Macaca mulatta: one gene and its partners. The protein of the gene in region 1 purifies or fractionates together with the protein of each later gene. This does not show direct contact. Links are inferred from orthologs where the notes say so. Each region holds a gene or a part of one and is shown on either strand. Other genes may lie near its edges.

Region 1 (3,649 bases):
ACCACTACCCCACATATATTTTCCCCTGTTATTAACAATTTGCATTAGTTTGGCACAGTTGTTCCAATCGATGAGCCAATATTTGACACTTCATTATCACTCAAAGTCCATAGTTTACATCAGGGTTCATTCTTTGTACTGTACATTCTATGGGTTTTGACAAGTGAACAATGGCACGTATCCCCCACTGTAGTATACAAAACAGTTTCACTGCCCTAAAAATCCTCTGTGCTTTACCTATTCATCTCTCCCTCCCCTAACCCCTGACAACCATTGATCTTTTTAATGTCCTCATAATTGTGTCTCTTCCAGAATGTCTTATAGTTGGGAACGAATAGTATGTAGCCTTTTCAGATTGGCCTCTTTCACTTAGCAATATGCATTTACATTTCTTTCATTTATTTTCATAGTTTGATAGCATTTTCTTTTATTGCCAACCTGCTAACTTTATTTTTTAAATCCAGCATAATATTTAAACTGAAATGCCACCTTTCAATCCCCACCTAAAGGGTCCATATGTGACTCATCTTGTACAACTTAGAGGGCCTGGTAAGGAGGAGACCCACACAGAACACTTACCAAGAAAATTCATTCTGGCACTGAAACTCTCCACTTTAGGACAAGCCTCAAGAAAGTTCTCTGATAGGGATGAAATGTGGTTTTTACTAAGGTTTAAAATCTTCAGTTCCTTCAGTCTCAAGGGGGAGCATATCCCTGATATTTTATTTCTAGTCACAAGAGACAAGATAATGATTAAACTGCATAAATTCATTCATATGCTTTAAAGAAAAAATACCAAAAACAATTTGCTTTTGAAGAATAGCATCGAAGAGGACTCATTAATTTAAAAATTAGTTGTGAAAATGTAAGTCATTGATAAAAGTTGTAATATTCATTGTCTCAGTTTTTATTATATATAATAATACTTATACATTATAATAAATATATATTTTATATATATATATTTTTTTTTTGAGACAGAGTCTCGCCTCTGTCACCCAGGCTGGAGTGCAATGGCGCGATCTTGGCTCACTGCGACCTCCGCCTCTTGGGTTCAAGCGATTCTCATGCCTCAGCCTCTGAGTAGGTGGGATTACAGGCGCGCACCAACAACCCCGGATAATTTTTGTATTTTTAGTAGAGATGGAGTTTCACCATGTTGTCAAAACTCATGACTATACAAATGTCAGCGTATTTTGTTAACATCAGCATATTTAGGCAGTCCTTTTATTTTTAATGAGCTCTTTCTTACCCTTCTAAAATGAGCTGCTCCAGTTTCTCTATCACATCAGCAAGGTTCTCAGGAACAGAAGACAGCTGGTTATATGACAGGTTAAACTGTTTCAGAGTTGGACATTTCACTGCAGGATCTAAAACCACTGAGGGTCCAATGTCATTTCGAGAGACATCAAGGTTAGCAACACAACTCATTTTCAACAAGTAAGAAGGAAATGATGTAAATTTATTACTGTGCAAGTCCAAATGTGTCAAACTCTTCAGAGTCTGAAAAGACAAGAGTTTAAAATTCTAAAGTGGACCATCTGAGGAACTTAAGTCTAGCTAATATTTCTGCCTTACACACCTCTGGTAACTAGAACCATCAAGAATTTTCAAAAAGTTGAAAACACAATCCACAACAGAATTTCAGTATACTGATTAGCCCAATCACCTCTGCTTATAGCATGGGTAAAACCAGCAAAATTACAACGGTAGACTGTAAAAAGCAGGTTCATGAAAATAGAGTTGAAAGCTTCCTTCAGCTTTTTTGTAAATTATTTCCAGAAAGAGCAAAATGGAAGCAGAATAGGCCTCAACATATATTTGAATTAATGATTTAAGAAAAAGCACAACATAATCCTGGGAATATGTTTTAAATGCTGTCAGAAATTGTTACATATTTTGATATATATAAGATTTAACCATAAAAATAGTTACATACAATATGTGTTTCATTTTAGAACCTCCTCTTTTTTATGAAACTTTTTGTTTCAAATTTCTACTTTCCATTTTTAAGCAGTTTATAATTTTACAATGATAACAGCAAACCCCTACTTACATATTACGTCGACTTTTTACAACTTTGTTATGTAATACTCTTAAAGAGCTCAAATGCCAAAAACAATCACTTCTCTATGTTCTTCTTTATATATCAGTATATTTATCCACACAAGAAATTCTAGACTTTGGTATGATTATAGAGGCTTATTAATGACTCTTTGCCTCAGAAGTTGTTTCAAAATTCCTGCCTTTGTTTCAGACCCTTATTAACTTATTCCAAAGTAAAGATTTTAAAATTATTCCCAGGGTTTAATCAGAAAATTTTCTTATAAAAAGGAACATAGTTGAGACTCTTTGACAATAACAAACAAACAAACAAAGTACCATCTAATGGTGTCATTTTGAAATTTCCCTAAGAGAAGATTCTGAGCTTGTCCAGTCATTGAATGCCAGCATGTCTCACCTTATCACCATCTCTTCCAATTCTCTTTTTTTTTTTTTTTTTTGAGACAGAGTCTCGCTCTGTCGCCCAGGCTGGAGTGCAGTGGCGCAATCTCGGCTCACTGCAAGCTCTGCCTCCCGGGTTCACGCCATTCTCCTGCCTCAGCCTCCCGAGTTGCTGGGACTACAGGCGCCCACCACCTCGCCCGGCTAGTTTTTTCTATTTTTTAGTAGAGACGGGGTTTCACCGTGTTAGCCAGGATGGTCTCGATCTCCTGACCTTGTGATCCGCCCGTCTCAGCCTCCCAAAGTGCTGGGATTACAGGCTTGCGCCACCGTGCCCAGCCTTCCAATTCTCTTTGTTTTAACTAGACTAAATCTCTGAATTATTTCACTTGCTCATTTAACAAATATTAATTGAAGTATTACCAAGTTTCAGGCATTAATGCCTCCACAAATCAATTCAGTAAGTATCTACTAAACTTCTACCATATGTCAGGTCTCACTAGGCACTGGGAATAGACAGAAACAAGCCTGAAACAAGTCCTGTCCTCAAGGAGTTCACAGTTTAGTGAAGGCAAAGGTACTTTAAATCAAATTGGATGACTGAATGAGAATTAGAGGGAAAGCATCATGTGTTATGGAAATGGAGGTTAGGTGGCCAGGTTGGCTGGAGGGTAGAAGGAAAAAGGAAGAGAAGCAGAGAGTGATGAAGTGACATTTAAATTGAGCCCTGGGTGACTTGAAGTATTTAGCAAGGCAAAGAGGTGAAGAGAGAAAGACACATTTTAGACATTACAGCATGGCTGGAGGAGTGGGTCACCTTTCTTTCTTCTCTCTGTCTCCAGATATAAAAACTTTACAGAGAAAAACACCCCTTAAATATACTTAAAATTTATGTAATATTGCCTTTAAAACATCTCAAAATTATGATAATTTTTTAGACTTAAAAAGGGGGAAATGCATTTGCAACAAGACTTTTTTTTTTTTTTTGAGATAGGGTCTCACTGTGTTGCCCAGGCTGGAGTACAGTGGTGCAATCTTGGCTCACTGCAACCTCTGCCTCCCAGGATCAGGCAATTCTCCTACCTCAGCACCCAGTAGCTGGGACCACAGGTGCACCCCACCACACATGGCTAATTTTTTGTATTTTTGGTAGAGACAAGATTTTGCTGTTGTTTACGCTGGTCTTGAACTCTTGAACTCAGAC
Region 2 (3,649 bases), on another chromosome or scaffold:
AGCTCAAGTTTGATTGAAAAGTAGCATAAAACTAAGGGCATTTATTGTATTCAGATCTGAAGCAAGTTCTGTGTTGCTGAGGTATAAAAGCATTTGTGTTAATGTGATTTTAAAAACCATGAGTTCTTCTCCCTCCATTGCAGGATTGCTTATATTGAATTTAAGACAGAAGCTGATGCAGAGAAAACCTTTGAGGAAAAGCAGGGAACAGAGATTGATGGGCGATCTATTTCCCTGTACTATACCGGAGAGAAAGGTCAAAATCAAGACTATAGAGGTGGAAAGAATAGCACTTGGAGTGGTAAGAAATTAGGCTTGTTACTGGGTTCCAGAATTGATGGAGGGAACTCCTTTGTGTCTTTGTACTTCATAAGTTTATACTTTTTAATCAAAGTTACTTAAATGTAGGTGAAGATCAAGGACATTATACCCTAAGTTATACTCTTATTTGGAATAGTAATTTCCAATCTTGAATGAGAGCTGTAAAATCATTTTGCATTGGAATACAGTAGGCAAATCAAGCTTCCTTTTTGTAGGTATGTTTTATACTTTAAATGACTTCGACTATGTGTGTGTGTGTGTTTTTTTTTTTTTTTTGAAACAGTCTCGCTCTGTGGCCCGGGCTGGAGTGCAGTGGCCGGATCTCAGCTTACTGCAAGCTCTGCCTCCTGGGCTTACGCCATTCTCCTGCCTCAGCCTCCCGAGTAGCTGGGACTACAGGCGCCCGCCACCTCACCCGGCTAGTTTTTTGTATTTTTTAGTAGAGACGGGGTTTCACCGTGTTAGCCAGGATGGTCTCGATCTCCTGACCTCATGATCCGCCCATCTCGGCCTCCCAAAGTGCTGGGATTACAGGCTTGAGCCACCGTGCCCGGCCGACTATGTGTGTTTTGAACTCAGATTATTGTTCTAGGAAAACAGGCCAGTAGTCAGCCTATACATAAAGAACCACCACCAGAACATTGCAACATGTACTAAGTACTTAATATGTTGAGTAACAAAAGTGGATTTCACTTACATCATCAGTATTTGTGTGTTAACTCTTTCAAGCACTGAAATGCTTAGGAATAAAATATTACTGCTCTGACCGAAGCTGGGAACCACTGTTTCAGAGTCTTAGGAATGTGGCATCTCTATTTGCAGGTGAATCAAAAACTCTGGTTTTAAGCAACCTCTCCTACAGTGCAACAGAAGAAACTCTTCAGGAAGTATTTGAGAAAGCAACTTTTATCAAAGTACCCCAGAACCAAAATGGCAAATCTAAAGGGTAAGATAATTAATACCTTTATATCAGTTACAGGCTATATATGTCTTACAGGTCTAAAGGAACGTAAGGTCATGTGATCCTGTCAGAAAAGCCAAATAATTTTAGCTACGTAAATGAGTGTAAAAGAGCGTCATTTAGGTACCAACTTGAGAGAAGGCTTGGCAGCATCTTGTGACAGTGAAGGAGCACGTGCTTGGTAACTTACTCTAAGCATTAACTGTTCATCCTCAGGTATGCATTTATAGAGTTTGCTTCATTCGAAGATGCTAAAGAAGCTTTAAATTCCTGTAATAAAAGGGAAATTGAGGGCAGAGCAATCAGGCTGGAGTTGCAAGGACCCAGGGGATCACCTAATGCCAGAAGCCGTAAGTTCACCTGGATAGGATGCTGTGGTTGGGGGTAGCACTCTCAGTGCTTTTGGTGTTTATTTTTTGCACAAATTCTGTGTTTCCTGTTGCTACTGAGTGAACAATAACTGGATATGATGACTGATTACCTGAGAAATAATTGATGAAATCTCAAGAAGATTCCTCTAGATAGTCAAGTTCTGATCCAGCTGTGTCAACTCAGAGCAGCAAGTTTGCCCATGATTTCCTGCCCCATCCAGTGGGCAGCACCTGCTTGGGTTCTTCTCCCACTTTCCATAGAAGATGTGGGGCAGAATATCAACTATGCAGTGGCAGTTTAAAAAATGTAAACTCAGAATAGCCTTACTTTAATTAAGGACTAGTTGGCTTAGTTGCTTTTCACTGCTTTTCCACTAAGACAAGCATTCTTGGCCAGTAGTCATACCAGGCATTGTGCAAATTCAGTGTTACTACGAACTGTGACTTCACATAAAGTCACAATTTTTTTTCTTCCCCAGAGCCATCCAAAACTCTGTTTGTCAAAGGCCTGTCTGAGGATACCACTGAAGAGACATTAAAGGAGTCATTTGACGGCTCTGTTCGGGCAAGGATAGTCACTGACCGGGAAACTGGGTCCTCCAAAGGGTAAGGGAAGAAAGCATGAGTGCTGCTTTCACTTGAAGGGGTTTTTGTTCGGTGGAGACCTTGAGTCTAAGGTGTCTTCTCATTGAGCTCCTTTCTGTCTATCAGTGGCAGTTTATGGATTCGCACGAGAAGAAGAGAGAATTCACAGCACTAGCATTATTTTACCTTCTGTCTTTACAGAGGTATATTTAGCTGTTTTGTGAGACATTCTGGGGTTCAAGCTGTCACACCAGTTAGTTTTCCATAGAGAGCTACTCTGTCACTGGTATATTTTCCAAACTAAACAAGGCTACTTTCTGTGGGATGGCTCCCCAGTGTGTGCCGTTAACTTGGGACATGTGCAGTAGGTGCTTTTTATAATGGGCAATTTCATTTGGTGTTCTAGGTTTGGTTTTGTAGACTTCAACAGTGAGGAGGATGCCAAAGCTGCCAAGGAGGCCATGGAAGATGGTGAAATTGATGGAAATAAAGTTACCTTGGACTGGGCCAAACCTAAGGGTGAAGGTGGCTTTGGGGGTCGTGGTGGAGGCAGAGGCGGCTTTGGAGGACGAGGTGGTGGCAGAGGAGGCCGAGGAGGATTTGGTGGCAGAGGCCGGGGAGGCTTTGGAGGTAAGGCACACAGGGATAATGACTTCAATGTCTACTGGACACCACGTAGCATATGCTCTTTAGACCGTGCCTTGTCACGGTTCCTAATCACTGGGAGGAGGAACTTTGTACCTATTCTTTTAACAGTGTCTTGCCTTCCCCCTGTAGGGCGAGGCGGCTTCCGAGGAGGCAGAGGAGGAGGAGGTGACCACAAGCCACAAGGAAAGAAGACGAAGTTTGAATAGCTTCTGTCCCTCGGCTTTCCCTTTTCCATTTGAAAGAAAGGACTCTGGGGTTTTTACTGTTACCTGATCAATGACAGAGCCTTCTGAGGACATTCCAAGACAATATACAGTCCTGTGGTCTCCTTGGAAATCCGTCTAGTTAACATTTCAAGGGCAATACCGTGTTGGTTTTGACTGGATATTCATATAAACTTTTTAAAGAGTTGAGTGATAGAGCTAACCCTTATCTGTAAGTTTTGAATTTATATTGTTTCATCCCATGTACAAAACCATTTTTTCCTACAAATAGTTTGGGTTTTGTTGTTGTTTCTTTTGTTATTATTTTTTTTTTTTTGCGTTCGTGGGGTTGTAAAAGAAAAGAAAGCAGAATGTTTTATGGTTTTTGCTTCAGCGGCTTTAGGACAAATTAAAAGTCAACTCTGGTGCCAGACGTGTTACTTCCTAAAGAGTGTTTCCACTGGAATGTCACTGGAGAGCATGGCAAAGCCAGCTCTGCCACTCACTTCACCCATCCCAATGGAAATGGCGTAGTGCGTGCGTTTCCAGTATCCCAGCCC
Region 3 (3,749 bases), on another chromosome or scaffold:
AGAGTTGGTGACTGAAGGCCGATGAAAAATCCTAAGATTCACTAGGCTAAATAAAGCAGAGCCCTACCTCTAAGAACATCAGCTTTAAACCCAACATTCACACATTAGCATGGGCAACACTGAAATATTAATGCTGTGACCACAGGAATACACAGACTACCCACTGGTCTTAATCTCTAATACCAGTTAAGCACCCTCATTCATAGGCATCTGAAGGGCCGGATCAAAGGCAGCTGTGGAATAGACACAGATGCTATCAACCCCATCCCTTGACTTGGACAGCCAGCCATTTCTAAAGGTGGGCATCACTAGTTTGTGGCCGCAGCTTGCCCCACGCCTACAATTTTATCTTCTGCTCAAGGGGAACTTACTTCCTTTGCGCCCTGACTGCATCATCATGCGGCGGCGAACAGTATCAAATGGATAGGAAGTCAACCCAGCAACAGCAGTGACAGTCTGTGCGATCATCCAGCTGATGACGATGTGAGTGTTTTTGGGATCCGGAAGCATTCCTGGGAATAGGAAAGAGATGCTTTTACCAAAAAGTAGAGTTTTACTGACTTCCTTTCCCCACATCCCCTAAACATGTCATCTGTGCATGAGGGTCGCACTGGATGATCTTGGCTTCCTTCAGCAATTAAAAAAACTCTCTAGCTCTTGGAATGTTAGGTTGGTACAACGCTCTTTTAAATTGTCTCCTAAGAACACAACTTTAAAGCCCACAGCAAACTTACCCTTTGCAGTGTCATAGATACCGAAGTAGGCGGCTCGGTAGATGATAATACCCTGCACAGACACGTTAAAGCCTTGGTACAGGCCCTTAATCCCATCAGATTTGTAGATCTTAACCAGGCAGTCACCGAGGCCTCGGAATTCCCTTTCAGCTCCAGCTTTACCCACATCAGCTGCTAGACGGGTACGGGCAAAATCAAGAGGGTACACAAAACACAGGGATGTGGCCCCTGCGGCACCACCTGATGCCAGATTCCCTGCAAAGTAGCGCCAAAACTGGGTCCTCTTGTCCACACCACCTAGGAAGATCTGCTTGTATTTATCTTTGAAGGCGAAGTTAAGAGCCTGGGTGGGGAAGTATCTGATGACATTGGCCAGGTTACCGCGCCAGAAGGACAGAACTCCCTGCTCCTTGGGAATACGGACCACGCAGTCTATAATGCCTTTGTATTGCTTATCTGCAGTGATCTGCTTGCTGGCATGCTGCACCTAACAGACAGGAAGAAGCCAACAGGGACAGTTATAACCATGCGGAAGGGAAAGAGAAGGGCATATGCCATATGGATCAATACCCTTTAAGGCTGGCTCCCCTCTCCCAAATCTAGTCTTCGTATATCATACTGGCTGGAGCCTCCCAACCATATGAGGCTGTCACAGGGGAAGAGGTGATCGGCACCAGAGGTATTAAGCCTCCACCCCTCTGAGTGGGGAGGGGGCATCCTCCAGCGGACTCGTGACCTTTAAACCTGAGATAAAGGTCATTACCTCAAACCCAGGTTCAGAGGCATTAGGGCGAGTCCCACATAGGGCGCGGTCACCTTGGGGACCGCAGCCTACGCCTCCGGTCTCCTGAGCTGCTTCCGTCTCGCTCCGCCCCCACTCCGCTTCCAGAGGTGACCCGAGCGCCGCCGCCGGCACCCCTACACGCTCGCCCAGGGGCGCCCTCTAGAGCCAGCACTGGAGAGCGCGCGGCGCAGGGAGGCAGGCGGAGGGGACACGGCGGCCGCGGCTGCGCGGAGGCGGACGTAAAAGGAACACGCGCTTCCCGGCGCCGGCTTCCGGCCCGGCGAGGTTTGAGCGCGTCCGCGGGCTGGGAGGCCGCCGGACCCGGGCGCATGGCCTTCCCCGGGCAGTTATCTCCTTGCCGCGACCTTGAGGTCTTCGTTAAGAACTGGCGTTCCTCTTTCTAACGCCGGCTTTCGGCCTTCGCCCTTGACGCCCAGGCCCGGGGAGGCCGTCACTCAGGGACTGCTCCATCCGAGTCGGCCGCCTCGGGGATGCCGAGAGCCTGGTCCTGCTCTCCGCCCCTGGCCCCTTTCTAGACTCACAACTTCAGGTCACTAAAGGCGCCTCCCACCAGTTTGCCTTCTGCTCTGCCTCTGCGCCCGGCTCTGGCCTCTCCTAGCCGCTTCCCTGGCCATGTCTTTGGAGTTCGCTCCCCGCCACCCCTCGGGCGCCCGCCTTCTGTGCGACCCTCCCCCCCACTTCCTGGTTGGGCTCCTGGATCCCAGGACGTACCTGCAGCAGCAGCTTGACCCGCTCGATAGGCGCTACCGCCGTCTTGGAGATGGCTGCGGCCACTCCACCTGCCAGGAAGTCCTTGGCGAAGGACACAGCGGCATCTGTCATGTTGAAAGGAAAGAGGCGGCAGGCTGCTGCGGGACGGGACTGGGCCGGGAACCGGCTTTGACTCCGGCGCTGCGGGGCGGAGCGAAGCAAATGGCCGATTTATATAGGGGGAGCCGGCGCCGGAGCGGCAGGCGTCGGAGGCGGGGCCGGGGCGGGGTCTGGGCCCCGGCGCGCTGGGCGGCAGAGCAGCTGAGTGGCCCAGCGCGCAGGGGGAGGAGTCGTGGAGGGCTGGCCGGGACCGCTCTCCGCGCCGCCCGGGCTCGCCCTCGGCACCTGACCCGGCAGGAGGAAGGGGCGGGTCCAGAGGACACCCGGGACTTGAACGCTGAACCCTGACAGAGGCCTCGGAGTGGGTAGGAACGGTGAGGTCACGGTGTGCCTGGACAAAAACCCTTGGAGCAGAACTAGGGTGAGACGCATTTGTTACAGGGATGCCAAAAGAACCCTTCAGTCATCGAGATAAACGATACTTTAAAAAAGTCGTATGGGCAAACATCCTGCTGGCCGGCCCCCTTGTTTTGTAAATAAAGTTTAATTGAAGTGTCAAGGCTGAATTCAGGGTGAGGCAAGCGAGACAAAGTCATGCAAGTGCAGGTTGGGATCCTGTCTGTATTTCAAATGCTGATCATTTGTTCATCATGAATTTTTGCATTGCTTTTGATTTTTTTTTAAATAGTGCATTAAAAATCATTTGTCTTAATTACTGAGTTGTGTTTCACCAAGGTGAGTGCCTCACTCTTCCCACCCTAGGCCGGGCACTGTCCTGGAGCCAGTGAAACCAGACGAAATTAAGGGAACAACAGACGAAGGAACTGCCACCGTGCCCCAGACCCTGGTTTGCAAATACAGTTCAACAAAGACCTTGCCAGGAATTGGCTTGGGAGAGTCCAAAGGACTGGGCTGGGGGTGGGGAAATGATTTTAGCCAGAAGGTAAATATAGAGGTTGTACCCAGAAGGTTAAGAGGCTTAGGAAGGTTAAGAACTACGTTGACATTTGGCTTCCAGGACCCCAGGTAAAGTGCCCTTGGATCGAATAGATTTCTGAACTCCAGAAACATTTAGAGGAATCAGTAGAATTAGATTGGCAGCCATTGCGCCAATGGACAAGTGCTTACTGAGCCCCTTAATCCCTTCACTGGGTAAGCATTTGCCACACATGTCCTCAAAAACCTACTTGTTCGCTTAAGTGGACTCCCTCAGGTTCAGAACAGGAGCAGAGAGTGTAATCACAAATTCCGTGTCTGAATAATCATAACAATGTTTATAAAAATAAGGATGACTGTTGAAAACGGCAACTGCGGCTGAACCTTATGTGCCCAGACTTCAGAATTCCCAAAGGCAAAATGCCAGCAGGCCTTTGCACGCTGAACACATAGTGGTCATATCC

The links.
Region 2: the proteins of LRRK2 (region 1) and NCL purify together in Homo sapiens (co-immunoprecipitation; 3 studies listed by BioGRID and IntAct, with this or other methods). This does not show direct contact. The link is inferred for Macaca mulatta from reciprocal best matches to the Homo sapiens genes LRRK2 and NCL.
Region 3: the proteins of LRRK2 (region 1) and SLC25A5 purify together in Homo sapiens (co-immunoprecipitation; 3 studies listed by IntAct, with this or other methods). This does not show direct contact. The link is inferred for Macaca mulatta from reciprocal best matches to the Homo sapiens genes LRRK2 and SLC25A5.

Annotation. Positions count from the first base shown.
Region 1 is NC_133416.1:47,171,197-47,174,845, reverse strand, and holds part of LRRK2 (leucine-rich repeat serine/threonine-protein kinase 2), read right to left. Parts: intron 1,504-3,649; coding exon 1,253-1,503; intron 729-1,252; coding exon 580-728; intron 1-579. UniProt on the Homo sapiens protein: Serine/threonine-protein kinase which phosphorylates a broad range of proteins involved in multiple processes such as neuronal plasticity, innate immunity, autophagy, and vesicle trafficking.
Region 2 is NC_133417.1:136,712,911-136,716,559, reverse strand, and holds the end of NCL (nucleolin), read left to right. Parts: intron 1-143; coding exon 144-301; intron 302-1,143; coding exon 1,144-1,267; intron 1,268-1,498; coding exon 1,499-1,632; intron 1,633-1,743; exon of another isoform or gene 1,744-1,823; intron 1,824-2,132; coding exon 2,133-2,259; intron 2,260-2,332; exon of another isoform or gene 2,333-2,469; intron 2,470-2,644; coding exon 2,645-2,868; intron 2,869-3,015; coding exon 3,016-3,092; 3' UTR 3,093-3,520; downstream 3,521-3,649. UniProt on the Homo sapiens protein: Nucleolin is the major nucleolar protein of growing eukaryotic cells. It is found associated with intranucleolar chromatin and pre-ribosomal particles. It induces chromatin decondensation by binding to histone H1.
Region 3 is NC_133426.1:125,937,665-125,941,413, reverse strand, and holds the start of SLC25A5 (ADP/ATP translocase 2), read right to left. Parts: upstream 2,428-3,749; 5' UTR 2,362-2,427; coding exon 2,251-2,361; intron 1,222-2,250; coding exon 735-1,221; intron 513-734; coding exon 372-512; intron 1-371.